4 linked regions of the Anolis sagrei genome follow. The protein of the gene in region 4 purifies or fractionates together with the protein of the main gene of each other region. This does not show direct contact. Links are inferred from orthologs where the notes say so. Each region holds a gene or a part of one and is shown on either strand. Other genes may lie near its edges. The genes, in order: C1QBP, DKC1, ribosomal L1 domain-containing protein 1 and DDX21.

Region 1 (8,079 bases), on a different chromosome or scaffold from region 4:
ATGTCATAGAATCATAGAATCTGAGGGTTGGAAGAGGGAAGGAGAAAAGGAAGGCAAGAAGGGTAGAGAAGGAAGGAAGGAGAGAAGGAGGGAAAGGAGAGAAAGAAGGAAAGAAAGAAGGTTAGAGAAGGAAGGAAGGAGAGAAGGAGGGAGAGAAAGAGGGAAGGAGAAAAGGAAGGAAAGAATGTATAGAGAAGGAAAAAGGGAGGGAAAGAAGAAAGGAAGGAGAGAAAGAAGGAAAGAAAGAAGGGTAGAGAAGGAAGGAAGGAGAGAAGGAAGGAGAGAATGAAATAAAAAGTGAAAGAGGGAAGGAAGGAGAGAAGGAACGAAAGAAAGAGGGAGGGAAGGAAGGAGACAAGGAAGGATGGAACCAAAGAGTAAAGGAAGTGAGAAAAGAAACAGGTAGAGAAGGAAGAAAGAGGGAGGGAAAGAAAAAGAGGGAAGGAAGGAAAGAGGGAGGGAAGGAGAGAAGGAGAGAAAGAGGGGGGAAGGTTGGCCACAGCAACATGTGGCGGGTACAGCTAGTTTTACATAATTATATCTGGTTGTATCCCACAAGAGAAGATTCTACTCTCAAGGGCGTTTGGCTCTTCTCTGAAAGGTCATGCTTTTCTAACAAGTTATGCTCTACAAAAGGTGTTTCCCACAACATTGATGGAGAAGTAAGGGTTGGAAGGGCCCCCCGCTTACCCCCACTGGGCGATGTAGACGGGCTCAATGACCCACGGGATCTCATTCACGAAGGAAATGGCGCCAGTGATGTGGTACAGGACGGGGACGTCACGGATCTGCTCCCAGGGCATTGGCATGTTCTCCAAGAGCTTCAGCACCGCGTGAGGCATGTATTTCAACGCCCTGGTGGAGATCACAGAAGTTACAAAGAGGGAAGCTTTGGTTGCTAAATGGCAAGGAGTTCAGCCCAAAGAACCCCAGACCGAGCCTTCTGGCTCTCCCCAAAGCCAGCCAGGTTCCCCCACATGCTAAGCTCCTTCCTCACCCCAAATAGACCCGCTTGTCATGTCGGAACTTCCTGTTGGTCATATCTCCATGGTCACGGATGATTTTCCTCACATGCTCCGGAGGCATGTCCTCCTTCTGCGCATCCACAAAGCCAAACTTCCGCTTCTCAGCGTAGCGCTTGGCCTGCAGCTGCTGCCATTTGCGGGCTGCGAAAGCCAGAACACACTCACAATAGAGGCAGAGCTTTCCCCAAAAGAGCCAAAGCACCCCCCGCCCAAAGGGAATGATACTGCCAGGATCCTATAATTAAGGCCTGTCGTATATTAGGGATTTACTCATTATTTTTATTATACTCTGCTTTTTTTCTCTATGAATAAGAGACTCAGAGGGGCTTAGAGTTGCCCTTGGGCTGAGAATTGCGGTATATAAGCACAGTAAATAAATAAATAAAACAAATAAATAGAGTGAAGCCAATAATAATAATAATAATAATAATAATACTTTATACCCCGCTCCATCTCTCCCAGGGGGACTCAGTGCGGCTTACATGAGGCCTTGTCCAAAAATACAGTATCATAATATAACACAAAAGCATAACAAAACCAGAAATAAAATACATCAAATGCAAAAGCAATATAATAAATGAAGAACAAAAGCAAATCAAACATTAAAACACAGAGGATTAGGCTGGGCAAGGCCGAACTCAATGATAAATTTGTTAAACGCTGGGAGATAGGACAATATAAATTATTAGAAGGAGGATCCGGGGACAGGGAAGGATTTAATTGCACGAACCATAAAATAAAGTGCTTCTGAGGTCATTTTATGCAAAGTTTGGTCAGGGAGTATCTTACATTTAGGCCAATACAATTTAAGGCCTAAAATACACAAACATTAAAATAGAATTCAATATTAATGGTATATAAATAAACTATTATTATTACTTAGATCTTGCTATATTTCTCTAAAAAAATACTCAAAGCAGCTTATTGTAAAACCAATGCATACAATTGAAATCCACCTAAAAATATGCCAATATTAAAATATAATTAAATGTCAATGGTATTATAATAAGCAGTAAAAACTCTTAAATCTGATTAAATAACATAGACCTATGACGGAATAATTTGACAGATCAGCCTGGCTATGTCAACTAACAAGGCGATATAAGAGCGTGAACATATCGTACCTTTCTCCTGGAGCTTCTCCTCGGACATGTAGTCTGGCAGCGGAGCCATAGGGGCCGGCATCGGAGGGCAGGGCCCCCGGAAGGGAGGGAACACGCCAGTTGCCATGGCCGCAGGTCAGGCCTAAGGGAAGGGAAACAAACATGTTATTAATATATACTATTAGTATAATACATTACTATGGTATATTATTATATTGTACTATACCACTATAATGTCATATAACATGTATTATATAATATGCACCTGCCTATCTATAATATACTAGCCCTCCCTTGCCACACATTGCTGTGGTCTAGCCTGTGTATATATGTTTTGTGTTTGTGTGTATGTGTGTGCGTATATATTTGTGTGTATATGTGTATTTGTGTGTATATGTGGTTTTGCACATGCTTTGTAATGTATTTTTTTTTTGTTTTTCGGCTTTTTAAGTCTCTTCTGTTGTGTTTTCCAGTGTTTGTCAGTGTTTTCCAGTGATGGTCACTCGTTGGCCTGAGAGGGGTCTTGTGTCCAAATTTGGTGTCAATTTGTCCAGTGGTTTTTGAGTTATGCCAATCCCACAATAAATCATTACATTTTTATTTATATAACTAGCCGTTCCCTGCCACGAGTTGCTGTGGCCCACTCTGGTGGTCATGGGGGTTCTATGGCCCAATTCGTTGGTGGGGTTCAGAATGCTCTCTACAAATCCCAGCAACTACAACTCCCAAATGTCAAGTTTCTATTTTCCCCAAACTCCACCAATGTTCACATTTGGGCATACTGAGTATTCATGGCAAGTTTGGTCCAGATCCATCCTTGTTTGAGTCCACAGTGATCTCTGGATGTAGGTGAACTACAACTCTAAAACCAAAGGCCAATGCCCACCAAACCCTTCCAGTATTTTCTGTTGGTCATGAGAGAACTATGTGCCAAGTTTGGTTCAATTCCATCGTTGGTGGGGTTCAGAATGCTCTTTGATTGGAGGTGAACTATAAATCCCAGCAACAACAACTCCCAAATGACAAAATCTTTTTTTTTAGTGAAGGACATACATTGGGCTGTTAGGTGTCTTGTGTCCAAATTTGGTGTCAATTTGTCCAGTGGTTTTTGAGTTATGTTAATCCCACAAACGAACATTACATTTTTATTTATATAATTATACAATATAACAATACACAATAATGCACCATAATGATAATATATTAAACATAATATTATTGTTAATATATAATACACACACAACTATATATATATTACCGTTTTATTATTGAATATCTGAAGTTGTAATATTTTTATTGTGAGCTGCTTTGAGTATCAATATGGAGATAAAGTGGGATACAAATATAAATAAATAATGGGGAGGGGCAGTTAAATAAAATTCTTATCATTAATTATTATTAATATTAATTAATATTATTAATAAGACATGAGTCCTTGGCCTAGACTGGAAATTGAAGTCTTCTGCACACACTCTGTGTGTCTTTACTAATTACTCCTGTGTTAATTTATTGTAATTAATTAATTAATAATAAGCACAGGAGTAATTAGTGAAGTGTGTGCAGAAGACTTCAATTTCCAGCCTAGGCCAAGGAGCAAGGCCTTGGCCAATCAGACGCGGGCAGGAGGAAGAGTAGCCAATCAGCAAACAGTATGCAAATGCGCCAAGCGTGGGCCTAGTCCTGCTTCGGGCGCCTCCTTGGCGTAAACCAGAAACCCATTCTCGCTCCTTCTTTTCTAAAGTATCTCATTATGCATATGCAAATAAGCCCAATTATAGCGGGGAATAAAATTCGGGATGACTACTGACCTTCCGGCCTGGTATCTTCCCTTCTCTCCTCCCCTCCTTCCTTCCTTCTTCTCTCTTTTCCTCTCAGGCGAAGGACTCGTAATGGCGGCCGCCTTCGCCGCCTCTGCGTGAGAATCTCACACTGCGCAGGCGCCACTCTCCGGAAACGGATGAGGCGTGGAAAGGATTTCGCAGCCGGCCAATCGACGAGCGCTGAGAGTGAGGGGGCGGGGAAGGGAGAAGGTATCCGCCCCTTTTTTCTCTCAAACGCATGCGCAGTGAGGGCGGGAAGGCAACGCGCCGGAAAGGGAAAGGGACGGGAACCTTTGATGCGCGTGCGCACTAGCGAGGGAGCTCTCTTTTTTCTCTTTCTCCGGCGCGTGCGTAGTGAGAGTGTGAAGGCACCTTTGATGCGCATGCGCACTAGCGGGGGAGCTCGCTTGTCTCTTTCCGGCGCGTGCGCAGTGAGGGCGGGAAGGCAACACGCTTCAAAGGGAAAGGGGCGGGCTCCTTTGATGCGCATGCGCAGTAGCGAGGGAGCTCCCTTTTATCTCTCCAGCGCGTGCGCAGTGAGGGCGGCAAGGCAACGCGCCGCAAAGAGAAAGGGGCGGGCACATTTTTTGCGCATGCGCACTAGCGGGGAGTTCTCTTCTATCTCTTCGGCGCGTGCGCAGTGAGGGCGGGAAGGCAACACGCCGGGAATGAGAAAGGGGCGGGAACCTTTGATGCGCGTGCGCACTAGCGGGGATGTGCTTTTCCCCGCCCTTTCCGGCTTTCTGCTGCTGCTGCTTCCACTTCCGGTGCGCGTTCCTTTCCCCTCAGACGGCCATGCTGCTCGCTCGGGTCCTCCGCTCTTCGGCTTCCGCGGCGCTTCGGCCTTTCCAGGCGCGGACGGGCGCCTCCAGCCTGGCTCCGCGGCTGCTCCCCGCCGCCCGGCCCTTCACCCGCTCGCTGTGGCAGCTCCAGGAGCGCAGGCCTCGCGGGGGAGGGGGAGGCCTCAGGAGCCTGCCCTCCGCCCCCTGCGCATGCGCGGGCCTCCACACTGAAGGTGAGCCTCCTCCTCCTCCTCCATTCACCTCCTGGCCACGCGCCTGGCATCGTCCCCTGGACAACCTCCTTGCAGACGGCCCATTCTCTCACGCCAGAAGCGACTTGCAGTTTCTTAAGTCGCTCCTGACACCACAAGTAATAATAATAATAATAATAACAAAATAAAAATATTCTCTGAAAATAGGGTTTTGAATGCGTTCTCTCTGGGAATAGGATCTCTGTGCCTAGGAAGAGAATAATAATAATAATAATATATTATATATAATTTTATAATATTATATTATATATTATAATAATGTTAGAATTATATATATATATATATATATATATATATATAATAATCGTATAATAATGTAATTATGGGAGCTTTGGTGTGGGCTGGTTGTTGTTGTCATGCTTTCAAGTCATTTCAGACTTAGGTTGACCCTGAGCGAGGGCTGGGGAAATGACCTTGGAGGGCCGCATCCGGCCCTCAAGTCTTAGTTTGAGGATCCCTGGCTTAGACAGATAAACACATACATAGGATAGATACAGATATACTTACATAGTTGCATAGCTACAAAGAGACAGCTAGATTAGATAAACAGATGCATAGATCAGATACAGACATGCATACATAGTTGCATAGAGGGATAAATACAGATAGATCAGATAGGCAGATGCATAGATTAGATGCATAGTTGCATAGATAATAGCTACAGATAGATTAGATATATTGATAGTAATATATAATACTGATATTGTACTATACTAATAATATATTATATTGTATGTATATATTTTGTAAGCCGCTTTGAGTCCCCTGAGTAAGGGGAGAAGGGCGGGCGGCATATCCATGTCGCAAATAAATAATAAATACATAGATAGGTCCATAGATTAGGTCAGTGTTTCTCAACCTGGGGGTTGGGACCCCTGTGGGGGTCATGAGGGGGTGTCAGAGAGGTCACCAAAGACCATCAGAAAATACAGTATTTTCTGTTGGTCTTGGGGATTCTGTTTGGGAAGTCTGGCCCAATTCTATCGTTGGTGAGGTTCAGAATGCTCTCTGATTGTAGGTGAACTACAAATCCCAGCAACTACAACTCCCAAATGTCGAGGTCTATTTTCCCCCAATTCCACCAGTGTTCACATCTGAGCATATTGAGTATCCGTGCCAAGTATGGTTCAGATTCATCATTGGTTGAGTCCGTAGTTCTGTCTGGATGCAGGTGAACTACAACTCTAACATTCAAGGCCAATGCCCACCAAACCTTTCTAGTATTTTCTGTTGGTCATGGGAGTTCTGTGTGCCAAATTTGGTTCAGTTCCATTGTTGGTGGAATTCAGAATGCTCTGATTGTAGCTGAACTATAAATCCCAGCAACTACAACTCCCAAATGACAAAATCAACCCCCCCCCCCAACCCCACCAGTATTCAAATTTGGGTGTATTGGGTATTTGTGCCACATCCTACCTATCTGATACTTACACAACGATTCATAACAGAAGCAAAATGACAGTTCTGAAGTAGCAACAAAAACAATGTTATGGTTGGGGGTCAACATAACATGAGGAACTGTATTAAGGGGTCGTGGCATCAGGAGGGTTGAGAAACACTGGATTAGGTGGATAGCTCTCACCTGTGTGTTCTTGGCAGGCGACAAAGCTTTTGCGGAGTTCCTGGTGGACGAAATCAAGGAGGAGAAGAAGATCCAGAAGCACAAGTCATTGCCCAAAATGTCCGGCGGCTGGGAGCTGGACGTCCAAGGCACCGAGGCCAAGCTGGCGCGGAAAGTGGCCGGCGAGACGTAAGGGGCGCCTCCTCCTCCTCCTGGGTGGGGTCAGGTGGGGGTCTCCCACCCCTCTTGTTATATCTCTCTGGAGTTTGCTCACCTTGGGCTCCTCCTCCTGGTTCCGTCCACAGGGTCACGGTGTCCTTCAACATCAACAACAGCATCCCGCCGAGTTTTGACGAGGCTCCAGAAGGACAGAAGCCGGACGAGCAAGAAGTAAGTGGGGGTCCTTTTATTATAGACTAGCTTGGGTCCCTGGCATTGCCCGGGCTATTAGAAGAAGCCACTTTTTAATTGTCCCAAATGCCTAAGATTCTAGATGAACTACAACTCCCATCATGCCAGGGGAACTCCCTGAAAACCCATCAATATTTAGTTTGTCATGTTAGGCAAATTTGCTTTAGATGCATCCTCAGTGGGGTTCAGTGTGCTCTCTGGCTGCAGGGTGAACTACAACTCCCACTGTGGTCAGTCCTGTCAAATCCTTCCTTGGTCATGGAGGTTATGTGTGCCAAGTTAGACGCAGTTCCATCAATGGTGGGGTGCGGAGTGCACTTTGATCACAATTGAACTATAAATCCCAGTACGTACAACTAACCGATGTCAAGGCCAATCCCTCCCCCCCCCCCCCCAACTCACCAGTATTCAAATTTTGGCATATGGGGTATGCGTGCTGAATTTGGTGCAGATCCATTACTGTGTTGACATTGCTCTCTGGATGTAGGTGAACTATAAATCCTAAAAATCAAGATGAATCCCCCCAAGTCCCTCCTACATTCTTTTGTTGGTCATGGGGGTTTTGTGCGCCAAGTTAGGCCCAGGTCCATCATTGTGGGGTCCAGAGTTCCCTTTGATTGCGGGTGAACTATAAATCCCAGTACCTACAAGGACTGTGAATCAAGGTGAATTCCCCCCAAACCTTTCCAGTATTGCCAGCAGCTTACAGAATGGCAGTGGAATCCTAGAGTTGGGAGAGGCCCCCAAAGGGCATCTAGTCCAACCCCTTTCAGCCAGGTGGGAAGATGCAACCCAAACCCTCCCGACAGAGGGCCATGCGTACTCTGTTCACGAAGACTCCACCAGTTCTCCCAAAGGGAAGGCAGTGATCAAGATGGCTAAACAGAGGTCTGTTTTTTTCCTGCAGCCGGATCTCACGTCGACCCCGAACTTTGTTGTGGAAGTCACCAAAGATGACACCAAGCAGACCCTGGTGCTGGACTGCCACTACCCTGAGGACGAGGTGAGTGGAGGCCCGTGTGGGCCGTTCCCAAGTTGCAAACATCCGACTGACAAACGACTCACAGTTAAGAACAGGGCTGAAGCAACTGGGAATGAGGGGAAT
Region 2 (7,882 bases), on a different chromosome or scaffold from region 4:
TTGTGATTTTTTTTCTACTACTGCAACACTATTGAGCTAAATTTGTCTTTCCAAAAAGTCCATGTTCCAGCACAAATGCTCGCATTTCGCCGCTTTATTAGTAACATGGCTTTTTCTAGCTAGAAGCATTGGAATATGTATATTTTATATTACAAGCTCGGGGGGAAAAACTGAGCTAAAGCTCCTGCTCTTACCACTTGCAACTGTCATTCAGCTTCTACAAGATCAGCAACATTGGTAGGAGCAGAAAATAAAAGCATGGAAAGCACAATGGGAGCCACCTTCTACCAGAGGGAATGGAATACATAGACTATCCACAAGGCAATGGCAGCAGCTGCTACAGACTAAAAACTTTGGGGGCTACTTTTTTCTCTGCTCTCTCTATATATATGCAACAATGCAGTTATTTAAATTGCAATATCATACTTGCATTGTTACAAGAACACTTTTTAATGCTGCAATACAATAATAATACATTTTTTGTTCCTGGGTTATAAATGTCATTTCCTGATTAGTTCTATCATAAAAACATGAAAAAGGTGTGTTATTATTATTATTATTTTGACGGAGATCCTGCAGATTATTTTGCTATAGGTTTTCAACTAATATCTTACATAGTCTCAACCAATTCCAGACAGTTTCTGGAGTAGAACAACTCTTTTCAAAGACCGCACAATTAAACTAGAAAGAACACTTTCAAATCAGGGGCAGATTTTTTTTTTCAAATTTTGTTACATAGTGTACTGTTAGCAGTTGCCGCCATCAATCTTCCATGTGCTTCAGGGCTTTGGCATGAAAGTGGAAAAGGGCGCAATACAATCCCGCTCAAAGCATTAGACGCAAACATGTGGAGGATAGTAGTTTGGCCATCCACAGATTCTGAACGCAGGGACAGATGTTTTGAAAAAATATGTTTTGAAAAGTCAAACTTTGGTTTTAGTGTTTTATAGATGAGACATGCCATTTACATAATGAAGCTTGAACATTTGAACCTATAGAATATTTATCCATCTATCTCTTTCAGACATGGGCCAACTTGGGCCTTCCAGGTATTTTGGTCTCCAACTCCCACTGTTAGGAATTGTGGGAGTTGAAGTCCAAAACACCAGGAGGGCCAAAGTTAGCCCTTGCCTGATATATAGCGTCTGTCTGTCTGTCTGTCTGTCTGTCTATCTATCTATCTATCTATCTATCTATCTTACTATCTATCTATCTATCTATCCATATCTGTCTATGATATATATCTCTATATCCCTACAGTCCTTCCCAAAACAGACTCTTAGGCTCTTACATCCAATCTATATAAATAAAAATGTCATGTTCGTTTGTGGGATTAACATAACTTAAAAAATCACTAGATGAATTGACACCAAATTTGCACACAAGACACCTCTCAGGCCAATTCTATTATTAGGAAAGAATACTAATAATAATACAAACATAAAAGAATAGTAATAACTAGATGTCCCCTGCCATGCGTTGCTGTGGCCCAGCCTGTGTAGATGTGTTTTGAGTGTGTATATATTTGTGTGTATGTGTATATATGTGTGTTTGCATATATATGTGTGGTTTTAAGCATTTGTTGTAATGTGTTTTTTGGCTTTTTAAGTCTCTTGTGTGTGTGTTTTTAGTGTTTTATGAGTGATGGTCACTCGTTGGCCTGAGAGGTGTATTGTGTCCAAATTTGATGCCAATTCATCGAGTGGTTTTTGAGTTATGTTAATCCCACAATCAAACATTACATTTTTATTTATATAGATGTACATGCAAAATGTGAATATGTGTGTTTGCATATATGTGCGTGTGTGGTTTTGCGCCTGCATTGTAGTTTTTGGCTTTAAAGCCTCTTCTGCTGTTTTTCAGTCTTTTTTTAGTGATGGCCACTCGTTGGCCTGAGAGGTGTCTTGTGTCCAAATTTGGTGTCAATTCATCCAGTGGTTTTTGAGTTATGTTAATCCCACAAACGAACATTACATTTTTTATTTATACTAGCCATCCCCTGCCACGCGTTGCTGTGGCAAACATGGGAGTTCTGTGTGGGAAATTTGGCCCAATTCTATCGTTGGTGGGATTTCAGAATGCTCTGTGTTTGTAGGTGAACTATAAATCCCAGTAACTATAACTCCCGAATGTCAAGATTCTATTTCCCCCAAACTCCACCAGTGTTCACATTTGGGCATATTGAGTATTCGTGTAGATTATTTGTGCCAAGTTTGGTCCAGATCCATCATTGTTTGTGTGCACAGTGCTCTCTGGATGTAGGTGAACTACAACTCCAAAACCAAAGGACACTGCTCACCAAACTCTATTTATTATTTATTTAAAAGTTTTGTATACCGGCCTTCTCACCTCTCTTGAGGGACTCAGACCTGTTTCCAACCATAATATCACATACAATCAATAAAACATCATAATACATATTACAGTAAAACATTAAAACAGCAATTACAATCAATAACTATAATGGTCAGTCGTGGCACTAAAAATACCCTTCCAGTATTTTCTGTTGGCCGTAGGAGTTCTGTGTGCCAAGATTGGTTCAATTCCATCACTGTTGGGGTTCAGAATGCTCTGTGATTGTAGGTGAACTATAAATCCCAGCAACTACAACTCCCAAATGACAAAATCAATTTCTTTGAATGAAGGACCTACATTGAGTTGTTCGGTGTCTTGTGTCCAACTTTGGTGTCAATTCGTCCAGTGGGTTTTGAGTTATATTAATCCCACAAATGAACATTACATTTTTATTTATATAGCTATTATTACTACTATTCTTTCTTCTCATCAAAAAGACCCAAAGTACCCAAGGCCTGGTTGCAACGCCTTCTTTGTATCTCCTCGCCCCATTGACTGAGGAGGAGAAAGCCTAAGCTGCTCCTCCCTTTGTGGCCCTGATAGGGAAGATGGCAAGGCTACCTCTGAGCATACATGGAGTGCTTCCCCTCCCTTTGTGGCCCTCACAGGGCTGCTTCTGAGCATGCTTCCTCTCAGACCCAGGGGGGAAGCGCCCTCCTCCAATTCAACAAAAGCCTCCTCCTGCCCTGACTCTTAAACTTTAAACAGCAAGGAACCCACCTGCGCCACCGTCCGCCATCTTGCCTCCGCCACGCGCTGCCTCTGGAGCACGCTACACCCGCGCGCTCACTCCGGCCGGAAAGGGACGCCACGCCCACTTCCGCTCCCGAGAGGCAACGCGGCACCAGGGCGGGCTGGAAACAAACTGGCCAGAGGGATCCACAACGCCCCTAGTGGCCACGCCGGAAATTGCACCCTCATTATTTATTTATCAGCAACCAGACATTTGTATTACAAGGTTCTTGTGGGTTTTTTCGGGCTATAGGGCCATGTTCTAGAGGCATTTCTCCTGACGTTTCGCCTGCATCTATGGCAAGCATCCTCAGAGGTAGTGAGGTCTGTTGGAAATAGGACAATGGGTTTATAGATCTGTGGAATGGCTGGGGTGGGGCAAGGAGCTCTTCCCTGCTGCAGTTAGGTGTGAATGTTTAGCTGATCACCTTCATTAGCATTTGAAGGCCTGCCTGAACCTGGGAAAATCTGTTGCTGGGAGGTGTTAATCTGTGCCTGGTTGTTTCCTCTCTGTTGTTTTGCTGTTATAATTTTAGAGTTTTTTAATACTGGTAGCCAGACTTTGTTCATTTTCATGGTCTCTTCCTTTCTGTTGAAATTGTCCACATGCTTGTGGATTTCAATGGCTTCTCTGTGTAGTCTGACATGGTGGTTGTTGGTGTGGTCCAGCATTTCTGTGTTCTCAAATAATATGCTGTGTCCAGGCTGGTTCATCAGGTGCTCTGCTATGGCTGACTTCTCTGGCTGAAGTAGTCTGCAGTGCCTTTCATGTTCCTTGATGCGTGTCTGGGCAATGCTGCGTTTGGTGGTCCCTATGTAGACTTGTCCACAGCTGCATGGTACACGGTAGACTCCTGCAGAAGTGAGAGGATCCCTCTTGTCCTTTGCTGAACGTAGCATTTGTTGGATTTTCTTGGTGGGTTTGTAGATAGTTTGTATGTTGTGTTTCCTCATCAGCTTCCCTATGCGGTCAGTGGTTCCCTTGATGTATGGCAGGAACACCTTTCCTCTTCGACAATACATTTGTATTACATTTTTAACAAAAACAAACAGACAGACAAAACATAGAATTTGCAAGCTTGGTAGTTGATTAAATGTCCAAAGGACATTTAACATAGTACCAAACTCAGAAGTGTTGTATTTTATCTGTTTTTTTGCTTTGTTCTGTTAGAAATGTAATATAATTGACTGGTTAATCTGACATGACAAATAAATATGGGGTGATTTGAATGCAATATTCCTGCTTCTTGGCAGAATGGGCTTGGACTGGATGGCCCATGAGGTCTCTTCCAACTCTAGGATTCTATGATTCAGCCTGTGCTAGGCCCTCCTCTTAGTCCAAGAGCTCCCTCTCATCACTATAGCAACACACTCTTAGCCACGCCCCCTTCTTAACATCCGAGTCCTCCAGTGCGAGAGCGTGTCGTCACATCCCGTCCGGACCGGAAGCGCGCCTCCAGTGTTGTTTTGGCATCCCTGAGGGAAGGAAGGGAGGAAGGGAGAATGCTGTCTGTTCCAGGCTCCGGCCCGCCTCCGGGCTTCGGTTCGGGGGAAGGCGGCAGCGGCGGGGCGGGCGGAGACTTCTTGTCCCGCTACCGGGCGGTGTCGGCCAAGCTTCGCCGCCGCTTCCTCCGCAAGCCCAACGTGTCTGAGGCGGCGGAGCAGTTCTGGGCCTTGGCTCGGGAGCTGCGCGCCCAGGAGAGCCTCCCCCACGCGGCCTGGTGCCAGCTGGCGGTGGCGCGCTGCTCGCAGAGCCTGGGCCACGCGCCGGGGGAGGCGGCGGCGCTGACGGAGGCGGCCCGGCTGTGGCTGCGGCACGAGCGGGAGCTGCGCCTCCGCCAAGGCGGGCCTGCCTCCGCCGCGCTGGGCCTGGCCGAGCACCACCTCCCGGCCGCCCAGAGCTGCCTCGCCTTCGCCGCCCGACTCCGCCTCGACCTCGGGCAGCCCGCCCTGGCCGCCGGGCTGTGGCTCGAGCTGGGCGAGGAGCTGCGCGGCGCCGGGGAGGCCGCCCAAGCCGTGGCCGCCTTCCTCCGCGCGGGGGAGCTCCTGGTCTTGGCCCAGCTGCCCCTGGAGGCGCTGCGGGCACACAGCCAGGCTGCCTCCTGCCTCCTCCTCTGCGGGGACCACGATGGCGCCCTCGCCCTGCTCACTAAGGCCCAAGGACAGGCCCAAGGCGCCTCTGCTGCTTCTCCTGCTTCCATTCAGCAACTCCCAGGCACCTTCTTGGACGAGCTGCTCCGCTGCGAAGTCACCCGCGTCCTCCTCCTGCTCTTGCTCCAGCCGCCGCCTTCCAAACTGCTCCCCGAACATGCCCAGACCCTGGAGAAGTACTCCTGGGAGGCTCTGGATGCCTCACCCAGCTACATCCCTGCCGAGCTCTACCTGCTGCTCCAGTCTACCGTCATGGCCTGCCAGGAGAAGGACCTGGAGGCCCTCAAGGCCCTGCAGAAGGAGCTCTGGCCGCTCCTCAGCCCTGAGCAGAACCACCTCCTCCATTTGGTCCTCCAGGAGATGATCCGGCCTTCAGGGCAGGGCTTCTAGGCCTGGATCTAGAACGATGGCTTCAGACTGCAGGGTGGGAATGCCTGAGCCCAAGAGCACACAGAACAGAGGCTGCAGCAGGTGGCATCCCCACATCCTAGGAAACACTAAGGCCCAAGGCGCCTCTGCTTCTCCTGCTTCCGTTCATCAACTCTCAAGGCCCTGCAGAAGGAGCTCTGGCCACTCCTCAGCCCTGAGCAGAACCACCTCCTCCATTTGGTCCTCCAGAAGATGATTCAGCCTTCAGGGCAGGGCTTCTAGGCCTGGATCTAGAACGATGGCTGCAGACTGCAGGGTGGGAATGCCTGAACCCAAGAGCACACAGAACAGTGGCTGCAGCAGGTGGCATTCCCACATCCTAGGAAACAGGTCCTCAAAGGGCCCACAGCCAGGCCGCCTCCTGCCTCCTCCTTTGCAGGGACCACGATGGCGCCCTGGCCCTGCTCACTAAGGCCCAAGGCGCCTCTGCTTCTCCTGCTTCGATTCATCAACTCCCAGGTGCCTTCTTGGATGAACTGCTCCGCTTCGAAGTCACCCGCGTCCTCCCCCTGCTCTTGCTCCAGCCGCCACCTTCCAAGCTGCTCCCCGAACATGCCCAGACCCTGGAGAAGTACTCCTGGGAGGCCCTGGACGCCTCGCCCAGCTACATTCCTGCCAAACTCTACCTGCTGCTCCGTTACACTGGCCCTCAAGGCCCTGCAGAAGGAGCTCTGGCCACTCCTCAGCCCTGAGCAGAACCACCTCCTCCATTTGGTCCTGCAGGAGATGATCCGGCCTTCAGGGCAGGGCTTCTAGACCTGGATCTAGAGCGATGGCTTCAGACTTCAGGGTTGGCATGTCTGAGCCCAAGAGCAGACTGAATACTGATCGTAGCAGGTGGCATCTCCACATCCTAGGAAACGGGTCCTCAAAGGGAGATGAGGAAAAGAATGAGCACTCACAGGGGATAATGGAAGTGTGAGCCCTCACACATCTGGACAGGGCTGGGCTGTGTGTTTCCACTGGAATAATAATAATAATAAAGTTTTATTTTAACCTGCCCTCTCTCCCTGAAGGGATTCAGGATGGCTTCCATAAACAAAAATGGCAAACATTCAATGTCGTGTACAGTATTGAAATGAAAACATTGAAACATACAATTAAAGCAGTTTAAACATCTTTGGCTAAAAGCATCTAAGTCAGTCAGCCAGGCCCCATAGATTGATTTATTTATTTACAGTATTTATATTCCGCCCTTCTCACCCTGAAGGGGACTCAGGGTGGATCACAGAACATGTATATGGCAAACGTTCAATGCCGATTATACAGTGACAAGACAGACAACAGACAGAGGTATTACATAGACTTTTCCCCATTTCTTCAGCATCTTTGGAGGCTGTGCTTGGTTCCTGCCACAAGGGGTGCTGTTTTTCCATCTTGCTGAAGAGCTTTTTGTGTTTGTAAACTTTTCTCTGAACACTGTGCCTAAAATACCTCCCCGGTTAATGTGGTTCCTATTTATCTACTCACATTGCTGTTTTCAATTTGTTAGATAGGCGGAGAGCTTGGCTGAAGGTCAGGAACTCACCCTGATCCAGCTTCAAACTGTCAGCCTTTCAGTTGGCAAGATTTACTGCAGCTGGTGATAAACTTGCTGTGCTAAAGCCAGTTTAATAGATAATACAATTAAACCATTAAAATCTGTATAAAGGTATAAAAATAGCTCTTTGATAAATTAATATTGTCAGCTTTGTCCACCAAGATGGAGTCAGTGGTAAACTATTAATCCTCTATTTAAGGTGGAAGCTCCTGCAGGGTGGGAATGTCTGGGTCCAAGCATAGGCAGAATGGTAGCTCCAGGAGGCAACATCCCCGCATCTTAAGGAACGGAGCCTGAAACGGAGGTGGGGGAAAGAGCACTCACTGAGGATAATGGGAGCATGAGTCCAACACATCTGGAGAGCACTGAGCTGTGTGTTTCCGCTGGAAGGCATCCATCAATCAAACTTTATTTATATCCCCTGCCCCATCTCTCCATGGGGACTCAGGGTGGCTTACAACATAAAAGGCAAATCATTAAATGCCACAAAATTACATAATAAATGTAAGATAAATAGTATAAATATTCAATCACAACGAATACATAATTAAAGACCAACAAAACGCATTTCTGCAGGATGGGAATGTCTGAGTCCAAGAGAGACTGAAAGAGTAGAGAGAATGGCGACTGTTTGGAAAGTAGCTTATCATCTCCTTTGAGTATTAGACTTTGATT
Region 3 (8,274 bases), on a different chromosome or scaffold from region 4:
AACTTGATGTAATCTCACTGGATTGATGCAGTTTAATAGTAAAGGTTTGCTCATTGCAATTGAGATGAATATCAACCACAGGCTATACGTTTCTGCACATCAGAGTCTGAACTAAAGGAAAGCCAAAGTGTGTTCCAGGCTTTCGTGGCTGGAATCATTGGATTGCTGTGAGTTTTCCTGGCTGTCTGGTCATGTTCCAGAAGCATTCTCGCCTGACTTTTTGTCCATATCTATGGCAAGCATCCTTAGAGGTTGTCAGGTCTGTTGGAAACTTGGCAAGTGAGGTTTATATTTCTGTGGAATGATGTCCAGGGTGGAAGAAAGAACTCTTGTGTGCTTGAGGCTAGTGTGAATGTTGCAATTGGCCAGCTTGATTAGCATTTAATAGCCTTGCAGCTTCAAAGCCTGGCTCCTTCCTGCCTGGGGAATCCTTTGTTGGGAGGTGTTAGCTGTCCCTGATTGTTTCTTCTTTGGAATTCCCCTGTCTTCTGAGTGATGTTCTTTATTTACTGTCCTGATTTTGAAGTTTTTAAATTCTAGTAGCCAGGTTATGTTTATCTTCATGGTTTCCTCTCTGTTGAAATTGTCCACATGCTTGTGGATTTCAATGGCTCTCTGTGTATTCTGACATGGTGGTTGTTAGAGTGGTCCAGCATGTCTGTATTCTCAAATCAGGGCCAGCTAACACCTCCAAACAAAGGATTCCCCCAGACAGAAAGCAGCCAGGCTTTGAGACTGTAAGGCTATTCAGTTCTATTCAAGCTGGCCAATTGTAACATTCACACTAGCTTCAAGCACACAAGAGTTCTTTCTCCCACCCTGGGCATTATTCCACAGAAATACAAACCTCACTTGCCTAGTTTCCAGCAGACCTCACAACCTCTGATGATACCTGCCATAGATGTGGGCAAAACATTAGGAGAGAATGCTTCTGGAACATGGCCATACAGCCCGGAAAACTCACAGCAGCCCAAAGCAAAAGTGAATTATAGAACTTGTGGCTGGCAATTAAAAAGAACGGGGTACTAAATTCATATATCTGTGTGTAGGCTGAGCATGGGATCTGTGCCATTGTAAAACTGGGGAGAAAGCAGAAATTGAGTGATGTGCAATGATGCTCATGTGTTTAATGGCAATCTCCAGTATTAGGTTCCTATAGAAGGCTGGTTTCCAAGGTCCAAGATGCTTCTTCGATTATACCTTTTTACCTTTGTATGTTCAAAGTGTAATAATGTGCCCATTCCCCAAAGTCTACAGTCATGGAACTGTTCCATTTATTCTACTATAAATCTGAAATGTTTTCCCCCTGGTTGTTTATTTGTAATCATGGAACTCCCATCCATTTTACATAAGGCTACATTGTATGGACAAAGCAAAATTGATTGTCCTTCAGTTTCATATGACTATACTTGTAGCTACAACAATGCATGAAAACATTAAATAAATTTTATTATGTCTGCATATTTCTGCCTTTTATTTTTCTGGGAATTACAAAGTGATTTTTCAGAAAAGATCACAATTCAGATTTTCTTTTATAATACACTAATGTAAGGGAATGGCAGAGGGAACTGGGTATATTTAGCCTGGAGAAAAGGAGGAGGAGAGAGCCATATGTAAGTATTTGAAAGGAGGTCCCATTGAGGAGGAAGGAACAAACAGACTTGTAGAAATTTCTGTGGAGCCAGGGATTCAAAGGGCAGGAAAAGAGATTCTGCCAAAACATTAGGAAGAACTTCCCAAGGGTCAAAGCTGTTCAAGGTGGAGTCTCCTTCTCTGGAAGTTTTTAAACAGGCTGGATGGCCATCTGTCAGGAGGGCTTTGATATCTGTATTCATGGCAGAAGGCGGGACTGGATGGCCCTCTTCAAGTCTATGGCTCTAATTAAAATATCCTATCTGTGAAGAGAACCCAGCTCTGTTAAAAGACATGTCCAAACTTGCCTTTTGTCATTGGGAAATGTATAAAAGGGAGTTGTTTTCTCAGGGTTGATTGGAAACCAAACCTCTCGCAGCTTCCTTTCAACTTCAAGATGCTGGTCCTGTCGGATATCTGACCACTGAACCTGCAGCCCAGTCGATGCCACCTTTTTCATCTCTACATTCACAGATTCAACTTCAGTCTTGATGTGTTGATTCACTTGAGGATTCTGCTAATTTTCTTCCTTTGTTTTGAGATGAGGAGTGTCTCCCAACCCTCTCAGGCTGGATCTACATTGCCATATAATCCAGTTTCTGAACCCAGATGATCTGATTTGCACTTGATTATATGACTTTATATTGCCATATAGTCCCAACTCAAAGCAGATCATCTGGATTCAGAAACTGGATTACAGGCCGTCCCTGAATTACAAATATCCAACTTGCAAACGACTCCTAGTTAGGAACGGGGATCAGACAACAAGAAGCAAGACAAATCTTCCCCCTTGGAAGGAAGCTTTTCTCCAATCCTTGTTTTTCCACAACAAGCCAAGTTTTTTTCAAAATCCAATTCTCACAAGGACAGGAAATGTGAAATCTGGGCACAGACGGCAACACAAACACCACAAGAGTGTTCACCCTTCCCTATGCTATCCAAATCATGCATGCATGCATGCATATATATATATATATATATATATATATATATATATGGAGTTAACACTAAAAAAAGTTCCTGTTCCAACTTACATACAAATTCAATTTAAGAACAAACCTACAGAACCTCTCGTTTGTAATTTGGGGGCTTGGGCCTGAATATGGTAATGCAGACGGGGTCTCACTGTTGATCCTGATCCTCTTTACTACCACCTACTGATGATTTTAGGTTCTTTGCAGAACAAATGTTACATTTCACCAGAGTTGTAGTTTTATAAGGTCTTTATAGCCTTCCCTGCCAAAGACTGCTGGTGCCTCACCAAACTAAAACTCCCATGATTCCCTATGGGGAAAAAGTGGGATAGAAATAGTTAATAATAACAACAACAATTTATTTGATATATTGTGTCATAAGCCAATTGAGGGACCGGTTGTAATGTATTTAAAAACACAAACAGATGTCTTTGACCAGAACTGGCCACTTACAGCCACGCTGGTGTGGCTATAAGAAGGTCCTCCACTGTGTGTGTGGCAGCACTCAGGCTGCATTGTAGTAAGTGGAATGAGGTTTGCTCTTGCTTGTTGAGGTGTTCCTCAGTAGATCTTAGGAAGCTATTGATACACGGTGCTGGCGTACTGGCTGATATCCGAACAGAGGATGGGCCGGAGATGTCCGTGCCTTGGTCCTTTCATTACAGGCTGCTACTTCCTGACAGATGTCAGGTGGTGCAATACCAGCTAACAGTATAATTTCTCTAGTAGTGTGGGATGTAAACATCCTGTGATAATGTGGCATGTCTTCAGGAGCCACATCCACTGTTTTAACGTGGTGACATGTATTTCACATTGGGCATGTGTACTCAGCAGCAGAGTAGCAAAGTGCAAGGGCAGATGTCTTCACTGTGTCTGGTTGTGATCCCACGTTGTGCCAATCAGGTTTCATATGATATTATTTCTAGCAGCCACTTTTTGCTTGATAGTCAAGTAGTGCTTCTTGTAAATCAAAGCATGGTTCAGAGTAACATCCAGGTATTTTGATGTGCTGCAATGCTCAGGTGGGATTCCTTCCCAATTAGTCCCCAGAGCTCAAGATGCTCGTCTGTTCTTAAAATGAAAAGCACATGTCTGCATTTTAGATTGATTAGCAATCAGCTGGTTTTCCCTGTAATAGGTAGTAAGAGTATCTAAAGCTTCAGAGATTTAGTATTATATTAATATATAATAATAATAATATAAAAATAATGATTTCATAGCACTTAGGTAGAGCAGTTGTGCTGAACTGCATTAATTCAACAATGTAAATGCAGCCTAAACAAATGTAACATACAGCAAGGTACTAGATTGGACTGTCCTCTTTGGGTGGTTTTAATGGCAGTCGAGGATTTGATTAAAGCAATCAGAACCGGAAGGGGATATAAAAGGAGTATATGTAAATAAAGGTATTAAATGTAAAGGTAAAGGTTCTCCCCTGAAATTAAGTCCAGCCATGTCTGACTCTGGGAGTTGGTGCTCATCTCCATTTCTAAGCCGAAGAGCTGGTGTTGTCCATAGAAACCTCCAAGGTCAGGTGGCCATAACTGCAAGGAGTGCCGTTACCTTCCCGCCAGAGCGGTACCTACTGATCTACTCATATTTGCATGTTTTCGAACTGTTAGGTTGGCAGAAGCTGGGGCTCACAGGGGAAACTCACACCACTCCCTGGATTCGAACCTGCGACCTTTCGGTCAACAAGTTTAGCAGTTCAGTGGTTTAACCCAAAATAAATAGTGTTAGCATTTCAAATTTTAAAACCCTTACTAATGGCTTTTGTTTTTGAAGGCCTGTTGAATTTTGAGGCTTTGAATTTTATCCTGAAGGAGGATGGATAACAGCCAGATCTTAAAACCAAGCAGGAGAAAACCATTCTTTCGACTAATCCCAATCGGCAATGCCATTTAATGCATTTTAGCAGCATTAAACCACATTAGTGTAGACTTCAATGTCTTTAAACTGCATTATATGGCAGTCCGGATGCGGGCCTAAGCATAAGACTAAAGAGGGACCAAAACTTTTGAGGTGAGAAAGTGTGCTTTGAAAGTTTGGTACTAGTTTGAAAGTGTTACTCCTGTTTCACTGTGTGATACTTCCTTTGGACGTTTGGCCCCTCCGCTCCAGCATCCAAGGAGACCTCTCTGCTTCCGCCTCCTCTTCCGGGAGGAGCCCTAGAGAGGCGGTCGCTCGCGGTGACATCATTAGAGGGCGACTTCCGCTCTCATCAGCGCACGAGGCACGGGCAGGCAGGCATGGCGCATCAGCCGGATCCCCAGCAGGTGAGGCTGAGTAGCCATCTGTTGGGAGGGCTTAGATTGTGCCTTTCCTGCAGATAGAATGGCTTTGGACTGGATGGGCCCTTTGTGCCTTTTCCCACTCTCGGATTCTGAGGCTGGGTGGCCATCGGTTGTGCCTTTCCATTAAGCAGAATGGGGTCGGACTGGATGGTCCTTGGAGGTCTCCTCCAACTCTAGGATTCTATGATTCCGAGGCTGGGTGGCCATCTGTCGGGAGGGCTTTGATTGTGCCTTTCCCGCAGGCAGAATGGGGTCGGACTTGATGCCCCTTGAGGTCTCGTCCGGCTCCAATAAGATTCTATGATTCAGAGGCTGGGTGGCTTTGGGAAGACTTTGTGCCTTTTCTATAGGCATAATAGGGTTGGACTGAATGACCCTTCGGGTCTCTTCCAACTCTAGGGATTCTATGATTCTGAGGCTGGATGGCCATCTGTCGGGAGGGTTTTGATCGTGCCTTTCCTGCAAGCAGAATGGGATTGGACTGGATGACCCTTCAGGTCTCTTCCAACTCTAGGATTCTATGATTCAGAGGCAGGATGGCCATCTATCGAGAGGGTTTTGATTATGCCTTTCCTGCAAGCAGAATGGGGTCAGACTGGATGGCCCTTGGGGTCTCCTCCAACTCTAGGATTCTATGATTCTGAGGCTAGGTGGCCATCTGTCGGAAATGCTTTGATTGTGCCTTTACTGCAGACAGGATGAGGTCGGACTAGATTGCCCTTGGGATCTCTTCTAACTCTGGCATTCTATGGTCATAGCCCCTGAAGCATGGCTTGGTGGCCATCTGTTGGGTGGCATTTGTTTGTGTCCTGCCTGGCAGAATCAGCTTGAGTTGGATGGCCTTTGGGGTCTCTTCTATTTTTCGGATTCTATTGAAAATTATTGGGCAAATGACTCTCAGAGCTTGGGAAAGTATTTCTGGTTATAAATTACTGGGTCCCCAAGTCATAATGGGCACTGGGTGTGCCAGCTCGAAAATTCTGGGAATTGTAGTCCAAAAAAAGTAAGGTTTCCAAGTTCTTTCCCAACCAAATGGGACTCTCACTATTGCTGTGACATTTAAAATGTTCCTATTTCACAGAGATTTAGACAAGCAAAAATCATATCTGCTTTTACAGATTAAAAAGGCTGCTCTCGCATTGCTTGCACATAGCAAGAACAAGAAGAATACGGCCGAGAAATTGCTTTTAAATGAGGACCGGAGTTTATTTTTAATGATTACCGTCTGGAAGATCCCACTGCGTGAGCAAGTCATCAAAATGTAAGTCTAAAAATCAGTGTGGGAGCCCCCTATGGCCCCCGCAGCACTGTTTGCTGCTGGTGCCAAATGCCTTCGAGGACAATAATAATATACTTTATTTATCTCCCCGGAGGGACCAAGAGCAGATTACAGTTTATATGTATAAGGTAAACATTCAGTACCTTTTAACACAGTGAACAACGACATAAAATACTTAGAGAGACAGAGGTAAAGCCTTCCCCTTTCCATCTCCAGCGTCTGGAGGCAATGCTGAACTCTGGCCATGGGGAGGTGCTCTTGTTCCATGCCGAGTATCCAGTTGGCCATAGACTTTCTTTGTCTGCATGGGTAGCCCTTTATCCTTCCCACTGAGGTGGTACCTATTAATCTACTCGCATTACATGTTTTCGAACTGCTAGGTAGATAGAACTGCTAGGTAGATAGGGCTGACGGCAGGGAGCTCACTCCGGCTCGTGGCGTCAAACTGCTAACCCTCCAGTCAACGGATTTCCTGCAAGTAGCGGTTTTAACCGCTGCACTAAACAATAGTCCAGAACTATACAAATGTCTCTTCTGGTTTTTGGAAATAGTTTGTTTTTGTTTTGTATTTTGGCTGAAATTGTGCTAGAAATGGTGCAAATTGCCACTCCTGGCATTCCTAGAAGATGCAGCATCCTTTCCTCCTCTTTTTAGTCAGAAAAACAGTGGTCTTAGTTGTGGAGGCAGGAGAGAATCCAGGAAAACTGTGGCAGTCAACCCATTATAAAATGGATCCAGCGTCACTTGCAAAGTGTGACTGTACTTAACCCTCCTTGCATTTGAGGTCAAAACACTCTGTGCATTCTCTCAATGCCACTGCTTTGTTTCTTACAGACCCCTGCCTCATAATATTCAGCCTGCAACGGCGGAGGTTTGCCTCTTCACGAAAGATGAGCCGGATTTAACAGCAGAACAGACGGAGAACCTGTACAAGAAGCTCTTGTCCCAACATGGGATCACAAGCATCACTGAGGTATGAAAGACACAAATGTTCATGGGGTGTTACATCCTTTTTGAGTCACTGGGGAACATTGCAAGGTCACAATGCTTTAGCTGTCTGATCAGCAAGTGGTGGTGACATTAGCCATTACCATCACCACCTCTTGGGCTTCCCTGTTCCTGCTCAACTTAGCTGTATTCCTTCCAGTTGGTTGTGCAAGGAAGACTGTGTTTTCTCTAGCAACAATCCCAGTTGGAAAATATTTAGAGATAGTCTTGCATGGGCAAGTAAGAGTCATTTCATTTACAAAATACCTGTTCTTGATGAAGCCAAAAAGCAGAATGTATCAAGGTGAATTTTCCCCAAAGACCTCCAGTGTTTTTTGGTGGTCATGGGGCTCTGTGTGCCAAGTAGGTTCCAGGTCCATTGTTGGTGGAGTTCAGAGTACTCATTGATTGCAGGGGAACTATAACTCTCAGTACCTTCAACTACAGCTCCTCTGAATCCCTCCAAAGACCTCCAGTATTTTTTGTTTGTAATGGGGGTTATGTGTGCTAAATTAGTTACAGGTCCATTGTTGGTGGAGTTCAGAATGCTCTTCGGTTTCAGGTGAACTATACATCTCAGTACCTACATCTCCTATAAATCATGGTGAATTCTCCCCAAACCTCTCTAGTATGTTCAGTTGCTGATCAATTCCTCTGTTTACTGTGTGCCATAGAAAAGAATAGGAAAGGGTTATGGGAGAGGCAGTGGGCAGGGTCATGCAAATTCCACTCCAATGGAAAGAGTAAGAAACACTGGGATGTAAGTGGTAGAGGAAAAACAGAAAATCTAGGATGAAATTGTCCCCGTATGAAAGCCTTCACTTGGGTGGTGGACAGTACGGCATTTGTGGAGGACATTGGCAGCGTTCTTGTACACGTTTACTGCGCTCTCTATAACCTGCATAGTGAGAGCTATAGCTGATTGTGGAAGTGAGAGCCTATCTGTGGAAGTGGACACCCCAGCCACACACATACAAACATATTTTTACCTTTATTATGTGTATAGATAAAACTCCTTTCAATCCAAGAGGCTATATTTTACTTCTTCCCCACTTAATCCTTATGAAAGCATTGTGGGGGTAGATAAGAGTAGCTGGCCAAATACTCA
Region 4 (8,345 bases):
TTTACTACCACATTTTTTCCTTTGTAAATATGTCAATATATATACTGTAAATGTCATAAGCTATCAAATATGTTAAAGTAGATTAAAGTCATAATAGTCCCCTTTTACCATGTATGGAAGCTTTTTAATAAACCTTTTCCTGCGCCTTTTTATAACCATCTTTTCTTTGTGGTAATACTTATATGGGAAAACAATGGAATTAAATTGTAATATATTTGCCTTTAGTGGCCACACAGAAATCCAAGATGTTTCGTTTGCTTTAGGCTCTAGTGCAGTGGTTCTCAACCTGGGGTCCCCAGATGTTTTTAGCCTACAACTCCCAGAAATCCCAGCCAGTTTACCAGCTGTTAGGATTTCTGGGAGTTGAAGGCCAAAAACATCTGGGGACCCAGGTTGAGAACCACTGCTCTAGTGTATTCGTCTAACGCAGTGATCTTATGGGGGTTCTGCAGACACACCCCAAATCTGGAGTCATTTTTCCCAGCTGCTCATTGATCTTATTACCTCCTATCCATACACTAAAAAAATTAAAATCACTTCCTTCTGTCAGTTAGGTATTCGGTTTTGTGCCCTGTGGGGCCCCTGTCCCTTATCCCATCCATTTTTCCCATGGGACATAGGGGTCTGCCTAAATCAGTGCTGCCTTATTTAAAATTGACTGATATGAGGATATAAAGGAGAACATCTTAATCCTGTGTACTTTGTTCACTTTGCTCATACTGAAAATGTCAAGCACCCTGCTATTAGCCATCAAGTTGGTTTTGATTTACAGTATGTAAATGAATGAGAGACTTCTGAGACAAAGTGACTTCCTTTACAGTGTAATGTAATGGGATCTTCCTACTGCTTTTCAAACCTTATTGCAGGCATCCTCAAACTGTGGCCCTCCAGCAGTTTGGCCCCCCAACTCCCAGAATTCCTGACCATTAAACAAACTGGCTAAACCTTCTGGGAGTTGGAGGCCTAAACAGCTTTTTTAATGGATGCTGTAAAGGAAGAGGAATGAATAAACGACAAATCTTATATAAATAAAAATGTAATGTTCGTTTGTGGTATTCACAGAACTCAACACCCACTGGACGAATTGACATCAAATTTGGACACAAGACACCTAACAACCCAATATATGTCCTTCACTCAAAAAAAATTGCTTTTGTCAATTTTGTCCCTTGCTCCCCCTTTTATTTTCCTTCTCCTCTCTCTCCTTTCTATCTTCTCTCCCTCTTTCGTTCCTTCCTTCCTTTGCTTTCTTTCCCTCCCTCTTTCTTTCTCTCCTTTCTTCTCTCCCTCTTCCCTTCCTTCCCTTCTTGACCACTTGCCTGGTGCTGGCAGGAAGGGAGCCTCGCAGCCAGGCGCGGTGCAGGCAGGAGGGAGGTGCTTTCGAGGCAGGCCAGCACCGCCCCTTCTTTTTTCTGCCATGGCCTTCCTGCCTGTTTGCCGGTTGGGCACGCAGGCAGGGTCACATGAAAGGCGCCTTGCAGCTGCAGCAGGAAGAAGGAGCTTGTCGGGATTGGCAGCTTGCAACAGATTTTCCTTCGCGTGGGGGGGAGGGGACATTCGCGCATGCGCTGTTATGAATTTTTGGCTTCTTTGGGGGATTAAGGTTAATTTTTTTTGTTTTATTGAGTGAAGGACATAGATTGCTTTGTGTGCTGTCTTGTGTCCAAATTTGGTGTCAATTTGCCCAGCGGTTTTTGAGTTCTGTGAATACCACAAATGAACATTACATTTTTATTTATATAGACTAGCCGTCCCCTGCCACGCATTGCTGTGGCCCACATGGGGGTTCTGTGTGGGAGGTCTGGCCCAATTCTATCATTGGTGGGATTCAGAAAAATCTGTGATTGTAGGTGAACTATAAATCCCAGCAACTACAACTCCGAAATGTCAAGATTCTATTTTCCCCATACTCCACCAGTGTTCACATTTGTGCTTATTGAGTATTCGTATAGTTTGGTCCAGATCCATCATTGTTTGTGTCCACAGTGATCTCTGGATGTAGGTGAACTACAACTCCAAAACCAAAGGACACTGGCCACCAAATCCTTCCAGTATTTTCTGTTGGTCATGGGAGAACTGTGTGCCAAGTTTGGTTCAATACCATTGTTGGTGGAGTTCAGAGTGCTCTTTGATTGTAGGTGTATTATAAATCTCAGCAACTACAACTCCCAAATGACAAAATCATTTTTTTGAGTGAAGGACATACATTGGGATGTTAGGTGTACGCTGTCCAAATTTGGTGTCAATTCGTCAATATTGAAATCTGAAAGATATACTGAAAGTCTTTGCTTGCAACATTTTTTTCCTTGCATTTGTTCCTGTTGAACTTCATATTATTATTATTATTATTATTATTATTATCTTTATTTGTACCCCGCTAGCATCTCCCGAAGGACTCGATGCGGCTTACAAAGGCCAAGGCCTCAAAACACAACATAACAATACGCAACCTAAATCAAATCAAAAACAGTTAAAGCAATATTAAAACAACAAGCAATAAACCAATACACAATAAAACTGGGCCGGGCCAGAGTATTTATTTATCGTGTCATCAGCAACCATTGTATTACAATTCTAACAGAGCAAAACAAACACAGAGATTAAAAAGAAAAAGAAAAAAAGAAAGAAAAAAAACCCACACAGATTTTGCAAATTTGGTATTTGGGCCAGAGTAATGGGTACAGATTAAAAGTGCTGATGTGGCAGGTGATATGTAGGATTATAGGGCAAGTTCAGTGTGCCAACAATCTTAATTTCTACTAAAGTGCTCTTGGGACTTGTTGGAGGATTCCTATTCTGGAAAGGCACATCGGAACAGCCAGGTCTTCAAATTCTTCCTAAAGACTGCCAACGTAGGAGCCTGTCTAAGATCTTTGGGGAGGGTGTTCCAGAGTTGGGGGGCCACCACAGAAAAGGCCCTGTCTCGCGTCCCCACCAGACGTGTCTGAGACCCAGGCGGAATTGCAAGCAGGGCCTCTCCGGATGAACGAAGTGAGCGCGTGGGTTCATAGACGGAGATGCGGTCACGCAGGTAGGCTGGTCCCAAACCATTTAGGGCTTTGTAGGTCAGCACCTGCACCTTAAATTGGGCTCGGAAAATAAACGGCAGCCAAAGGAGCTCCTTGAACAGGAGGGTTGACCTCTCTCTGTAAGGAGCACCAGTTAATTTATTATTTATTTACTTGTATACCGCAGTTTCTCAGCCCAACAGGCGACTCAACGCGGTTTACAACAAGGATAAAAATCAATCAACGATATACAATTTAAAACCATAAAAGCATAATATACAATATTGACACAACAATAGACAACACAATGCATCTCATAACTGTTAACATCCTGGCCGCTGCCCATTGCACCAATTGAAATTTCCGAGCCATTTTCAAGGGCAGCCCCACGTAGAGTGCATTACAGTAGTCCAGTCTAGAGCTGACCAAGGCATGGACCACCCCGGCCAGATCAGCCTTTGAGAGGTACGGTTGCAGTTGGCGCACAAGTCTCAATTGTGCAAAAGCCCTCCCGGACACCGCCGATTTTGTCAGTTTTGGCCAATCATCTCTCCAATCTGTGAAGCTCGTTTTGAATCCTGCTCCTCTTTAGCTTATTTATTTCTCGTGTCAGGGCAGCCAGTCAGTTATATTACATTTCTAACAGAACAAAGCAAACAAACAGAGAAAATACAAAATGTGTGTTTGATAGTTGATTAAATGTCCCTTGACCAGTATCTGGCCACTTGGAGTGCTTTTGGTGTTGCTGCAAAAAGATCCTCCATTGTGCATGTGGCAGGGCTCAGGTTGCATTGCAGCAGGTGGTCTGTGGTTTGCTCCTCTCCACACTCGCATGTTGTGGATTCCACATTTCTGAAGGTTGGCTCTGCATCTCGTGGTGCCAGAGCGCAGTCTGTTCAGCGCCTTCCAAGTCGCCCAGTCCTCTGTGTGCCCAGGGGGGAGTTTCTCATTTGGTATCAGCCATTGGTTGAGGTTCTGGGTTTGAGCCTGCCACTTTTGGACTCTTGCTTGCTGAGGTGTTCCAGCGAGTGTCTCTGTCTGGATTTAAGTCGTTGACGTGCTAGCTGATACCCAAACAGGGGATGAGCTGGAGATGTCACTGCCTTGGTCCTTTCACTATTGGCTGCCACTTCCTGGCGGATGTCAGGTGGTGCGATACTGCCTAAGCAGTGTAATTTCTCCAGTGGTGTAGGGCGCAGACACCCTGTGATAATGCGGCATGTCTCATTAAGAGCCACATCCACTGTTTTAGTGTGGTGAGATGTGGGTTGTTGTAGGTTTTTCCGGCTATATGGGCATGTTCTGGAGGCAATTTTTCTCCTCAGAGAAAAGGCAAGCATCCTCAGAGGTAGTGAGGTGTGTTGGAAGTAGGAAAAATGGGTTTATATATCTGTGGAATAACCAGGGTGAGACAAAGGACTTTTGTCTGCTGGGGCTAATGTGAATGTTTCAGCTGATCACCTTGATTAGATCACCTTGGTGAGATGTGTTCCACACTGGGCATGCATACTCAGCAGCAGAGTAGCACAGCGCAAGGGCGGATGTCTTCACTGTGTCTGGTTGTGATCCCCAGGTTGTGCCAGTCAGCTTTCGTATGATATTGTTTCTAGCACCCACTTTTTGCTTGATGTTGAGGCAATTCCTCTTTAGCTGGGAATAGTAGAGACCCCGCCCCACACTACATTTCCCAGAGTTCTGCGCGAGGCAGAAGAGGCGCGTGGGCGTCCTCTTTCAAACGCCGGTCTGACGAGAGACACTCTTTCCCTGGCGCCCCCTCAAGGCGGGCCCCTGAACTGCGGGAAGGCAGGCCTCACCCGGCGCTCCTCTTCCCGGCCGCGGCCTAGTCAGGGCTGAGGCGCCGGTGGGGCATGGGCTGGTGGTGCCGCTGCCTGGCGCAGTCCCGGAAGGCCCTCCGCCTGGCCCCGGCCTGCTGGAGGGCGCCATTTTGCGCCGCCCCCCTCAGCCGCGCGCCGCCTCCCCCCTCCTCCCCCTCCCCCTCCCTCCTCTTGGGCGGGGCGGAGCTGCTCCTTCCTTTCACGCCGGCCTCGGCCCCGACCAGCCGCTTCTGCCACCAGCTCCGCGGCGGAGATTGCCAGGCCATGCCCGCAGCCCCCCGCCCCGACGACAACGACGACAACGAGATGGAGCTCGAGGCCGCCCTGGAGCCCGAGGACGCCCTGGAGAGCGGAGGGAAGAAGCGCAAGGTACGCGGCGAGGGGGAAGGACGGAAAGAGGGAAGGACAAGGCCCAGGCGCTTACGTAAGGCCGACCGGGCCTCGTGGCTGACGGGAAGGAGAAGCCGGCCTCCGAGCCGGAAGCGCGGCCTGTTCGTGGCGCAGAGAAGTCAACCAAGAGGAGGCCTCTCTTTCCCACGGGCCTTCCCGCCCCCTCCAAAGTCCCTTAGAGTTAGGCCTCGCCACCCGCGTTTGTGTTCTACGGCCTTTCTGTTCCGCCTTCGCTGTTGCGCACGTGGCGGGCTTTCCCCTCCCCGTCCCACGACGCAGACATTTCCTTTAAAACAACAACAAAACTGTTCCCGTTTTGAAAGTGTTGTTTCTTGTTTAATTGTCCCCAGAGTATATTTCCTCACCCGTATGAAGGTCTATATTTATAACCCCGTTCCTTTACGAGTTTCCCCCCAACATCCCTGTCTCATCCTGATTTTAGTATTTTTAGTATCTTAGTTTTTATTTTGCTCATTGTTATGTTATTTTATTTTACCGTGTTATGATTTTGCTTTATCGTCTTTGTACTCATATGTTGTATTATTATTATTATTAAACTTTATTTGTACCCCGTTAGCATCTCCCGAAGGACTCAATGCAGCTTACAAAGGCCAAGGCCTCAGCACAACAACAACAGACAATAACAATACGATACAAAGCAAATTAAAAACATAAGCAATAACAAAACATTACACTATTACACAATAAAAACCAGGGCCAGGCCAGTGATGGGTACAGGTTAAAAAGGGCTGGGTGTGGCAGGTGGTATGTTGGAATTCTGGGCAAGTGCAATGTGCAGAGAGTCTTAAACTCTAATACAGTGCTTCTGGGACATAGTGCTGAGGGTTATCCTATTCCGGAAAGGCACATCAGAATAGCCAGGTCTTCAAGTTCTTCCTAAAGACTGCCAATGTGGGTGCTAGTCTAATGTCTTTGGGGAGGGTGTTCCAAAGTCGGGAGGCAACCACAGAGAAGGCCCTGTCCCTCGTCCCCACCAAATGCACCTGCGATGCAGGTGGAATCGTGAGCAGGCCCTCTCCGGATGAATGAAGGGAGAATGTGGGTTCATATACGGAGATGCGGTCACGCAGGTAGGCAGGTCCCAAACCGTTTAGGGCTTTGTAGGTAAGCACCTGCCCCTTGAATTGGGCTCGGTAGGTAAACGGCAGCCAATGGAGCTCCTTAAACAGGAGGGTTGACCTCTCTCTGTAAGGAGCGCCAGTTAACATCCTGACCGCCGCCCGTTGGACCAGTTGGAATTTCCGAGCCGTTTTCAAAGGCAGCCCCACGTAGAGCACATTACAGTAATCCAATCAAGAGGTGACCAAGGCATGGACCACCCCGGCCAAATCAACCTTTGCGAAGTACGGTCGCAGCTGGCGCACAAGTCTTAGCTGTGCAAAAGCCCTCCCGGCCACCGCCGACGCCTGAGCCTCAAGCGTAAATGATGAATCCAGGAGAACTCCCAAGCTGCGGACCTGTGACTTCAGGGGGAGTGTAACCCAGTCCAGCACAGGTTGCATTTTATTGTGTTGTTATTGGTTTTACATTATTGTAATATGCTGTTGGGCTTGGCCTCATGTAAACCGCCCCGAGTCCCCATTGGGGAGATGGTGGAGGGGTATTAAATAACGTTTATTATTATTATTATACTTCTTATTATTATTCTTCTTATTCTTATTATTATGCGGTCCTGACTTTAAAAGTAGTTAATAATAATAATAATAATAATAATAACACTTTATTTGTACCCCCTACCATCTGCCCAAGGGACTCGGTGCGGCTTACATGAGGTCGAGCCCAAATACAACAATACAAGCAATAAAACAACAATACAAGCAATAAAAAAACAATACAAGCAATAAAAAACATAATAAAATATACAACATTATCAATAAGACAACACACAGTTAAAAACAGTGGGAAGGCCCAAATGTAAGGTTAAAATTAGAAGTAATGCTGGGACATGGACAAAAAGGTGATACACATATATATACACACACAACACATATACACAGAATGGGCCACAGCAACGCATGGCAGGGGACGGCTAGTGAGAACATAAAAATAATGACAGATGCAATAATAATAAAGCACCTACTTCAGTTTAAAACTTTCCCTGTCTAAAGTATACTGCACTTATAGCTCTAATACAATTTTTCTTTACATACTGTTATTTACCTCTATCTGCTTTCCCTTTATTTCTCCTAGTGTAATCATTGTTTGATTTTTGTATGTTATGAATGGTTCCATTCAAAATACGTATGGCTCTCTGGGTGTAAGATACACATGGGTCTTCGGTTGTGGGTGGATTGCTCCCATCCTTCTCCCTCACATAACCCAACCCAGTCAGTATTTAAAGTTGGGTCTGTCTACCAAGATGGATCCAGATCCATTCTTGGTGGGTTCACAGGGCTCCCTGGAAGTGGGCAGACTACAATTCCCATCATCCTGGGTCATCCCACAGACATGTTACCAGTATTTTAAGATGGCCATGATGGGTATGTTTGGCCCAGATCCATCGTTGCTGTCCATGACGGGGCTCTCTGGATGTGAGAGCCATCCTGGAAAATATATATTTTGAGATAGATAGGGTTTTTTTTAAACATTTTCTTAGCTTGTAATAGTACATTGGATGTTTACAGCTCATGTACTTCGTACAAGCAATCCCTGTGGCTCAGTGGGGACTCAAATCAGAATCTCTCCGTCCATTCTTTAACCACCTGTTGTTGTTGTTGTTGTTGACAATGAGTTATGAATTAGAACTCTTCCAAGTCAGGTCTCATATCAGTTCTCACAGACTCAAGGCCATTACTTCCTTGATTGGGCTTGTACAGGGATAGCTCCTAATATCTTGTGGCTTGATGGGAACATACATTATGGATTTTATTTACAGATTTTATTTCTCTTATTGAGATTTCACCTCTTGGAACATCACTAATTACCATAAAGCAATGAAAAGAAAATAACTCTGGCCAACACACTTTTGGTACATCAAATGGTAGACCTGTTTATGGGTATATTTGATTCAAGAAAAAGGCCCCAGTTTCCCACCGATCAGCTCTAGCTTTTGAGATACAGAACATATGGCATCTACCAGTGTTCATTTGCT

Evidence for each region.
Region 1: the proteins of DDX21 (region 4) and C1QBP purify together in Homo sapiens (co-immunoprecipitation; 3 studies listed by BioGRID and IntAct, with this or other methods). This does not show direct contact. The link is inferred for Anolis sagrei from reciprocal best matches to the Homo sapiens genes DDX21 and C1QBP.
Region 2: the proteins of DDX21 (region 4) and DKC1 purify together in Homo sapiens (co-immunoprecipitation; 3 studies listed by BioGRID and IntAct, with this or other methods). This does not show direct contact. The link is inferred for Anolis sagrei from reciprocal best matches to the Homo sapiens genes DDX21 and DKC1.
Region 3: the proteins of DDX21 (region 4) and ribosomal L1 domain-containing protein 1 purify together in Homo sapiens (affinity purification with mass spectrometry; 3 studies listed by BioGRID and IntAct, with this or other methods). This does not show direct contact. The link is inferred for Anolis sagrei from reciprocal best matches to the Homo sapiens genes DDX21 and RSL1D1.

What each region holds. Positions count from the first base shown.
Region 1 is NC_090031.1:35,466,574-35,474,652, reverse strand, and holds the start of C1QBP (complement component 1 Q subcomponent-binding protein, mitochondrial), read left to right. Parts: upstream 1-4,647; 5' UTR 4,648-4,662; coding exon 4,663-4,963; intron 4,964-6,601; coding exon 6,602-6,752; intron 6,753-6,868; coding exon 6,869-6,953; intron 6,954-7,881; coding exon 7,882-7,977; intron 7,978-8,079. Other genes in the region: PRPF8 (pre-mRNA-processing-splicing factor 8), read right to left, coding at 691-855, 998-1,166, 2,150-2,255.
Region 2 is NC_090030.1:15,196,149-15,204,030, reverse strand, and holds the start of DKC1 (H/ACA ribonucleoprotein complex subunit DKC1), read right to left. Parts: upstream 3,183-7,882; 5' UTR 3,095-3,182; coding exon 3,076-3,094; intron 1-3,075. Other genes in the region: 40-kDa huntingtin-associated protein-like, read left to right, coding at 4,591-5,628.
Region 3 is NC_090034.1:24,516,080-24,524,353, forward strand, and holds the start of ribosomal L1 domain-containing protein 1, read left to right. Parts: upstream 1-4,787; 5' UTR 4,788-4,855; coding exon 4,856-4,882; intron 4,883-6,018; coding exon 6,019-6,161; intron 6,162-7,013; coding exon 7,014-7,152; intron 7,153-8,274. UniProt on the Homo sapiens protein: Regulates cellular senescence through inhibition of PTEN translation. Acts as a pro-apoptotic regulator in response to DNA damage.
Region 4 is NC_090023.1:170,859,087-170,867,431, forward strand, and holds the start of DDX21 (nucleolar RNA helicase 2), read left to right. Parts: upstream 1-4,861; 5' UTR 4,862-4,876; coding exon 4,877-5,212; intron 5,213-8,345.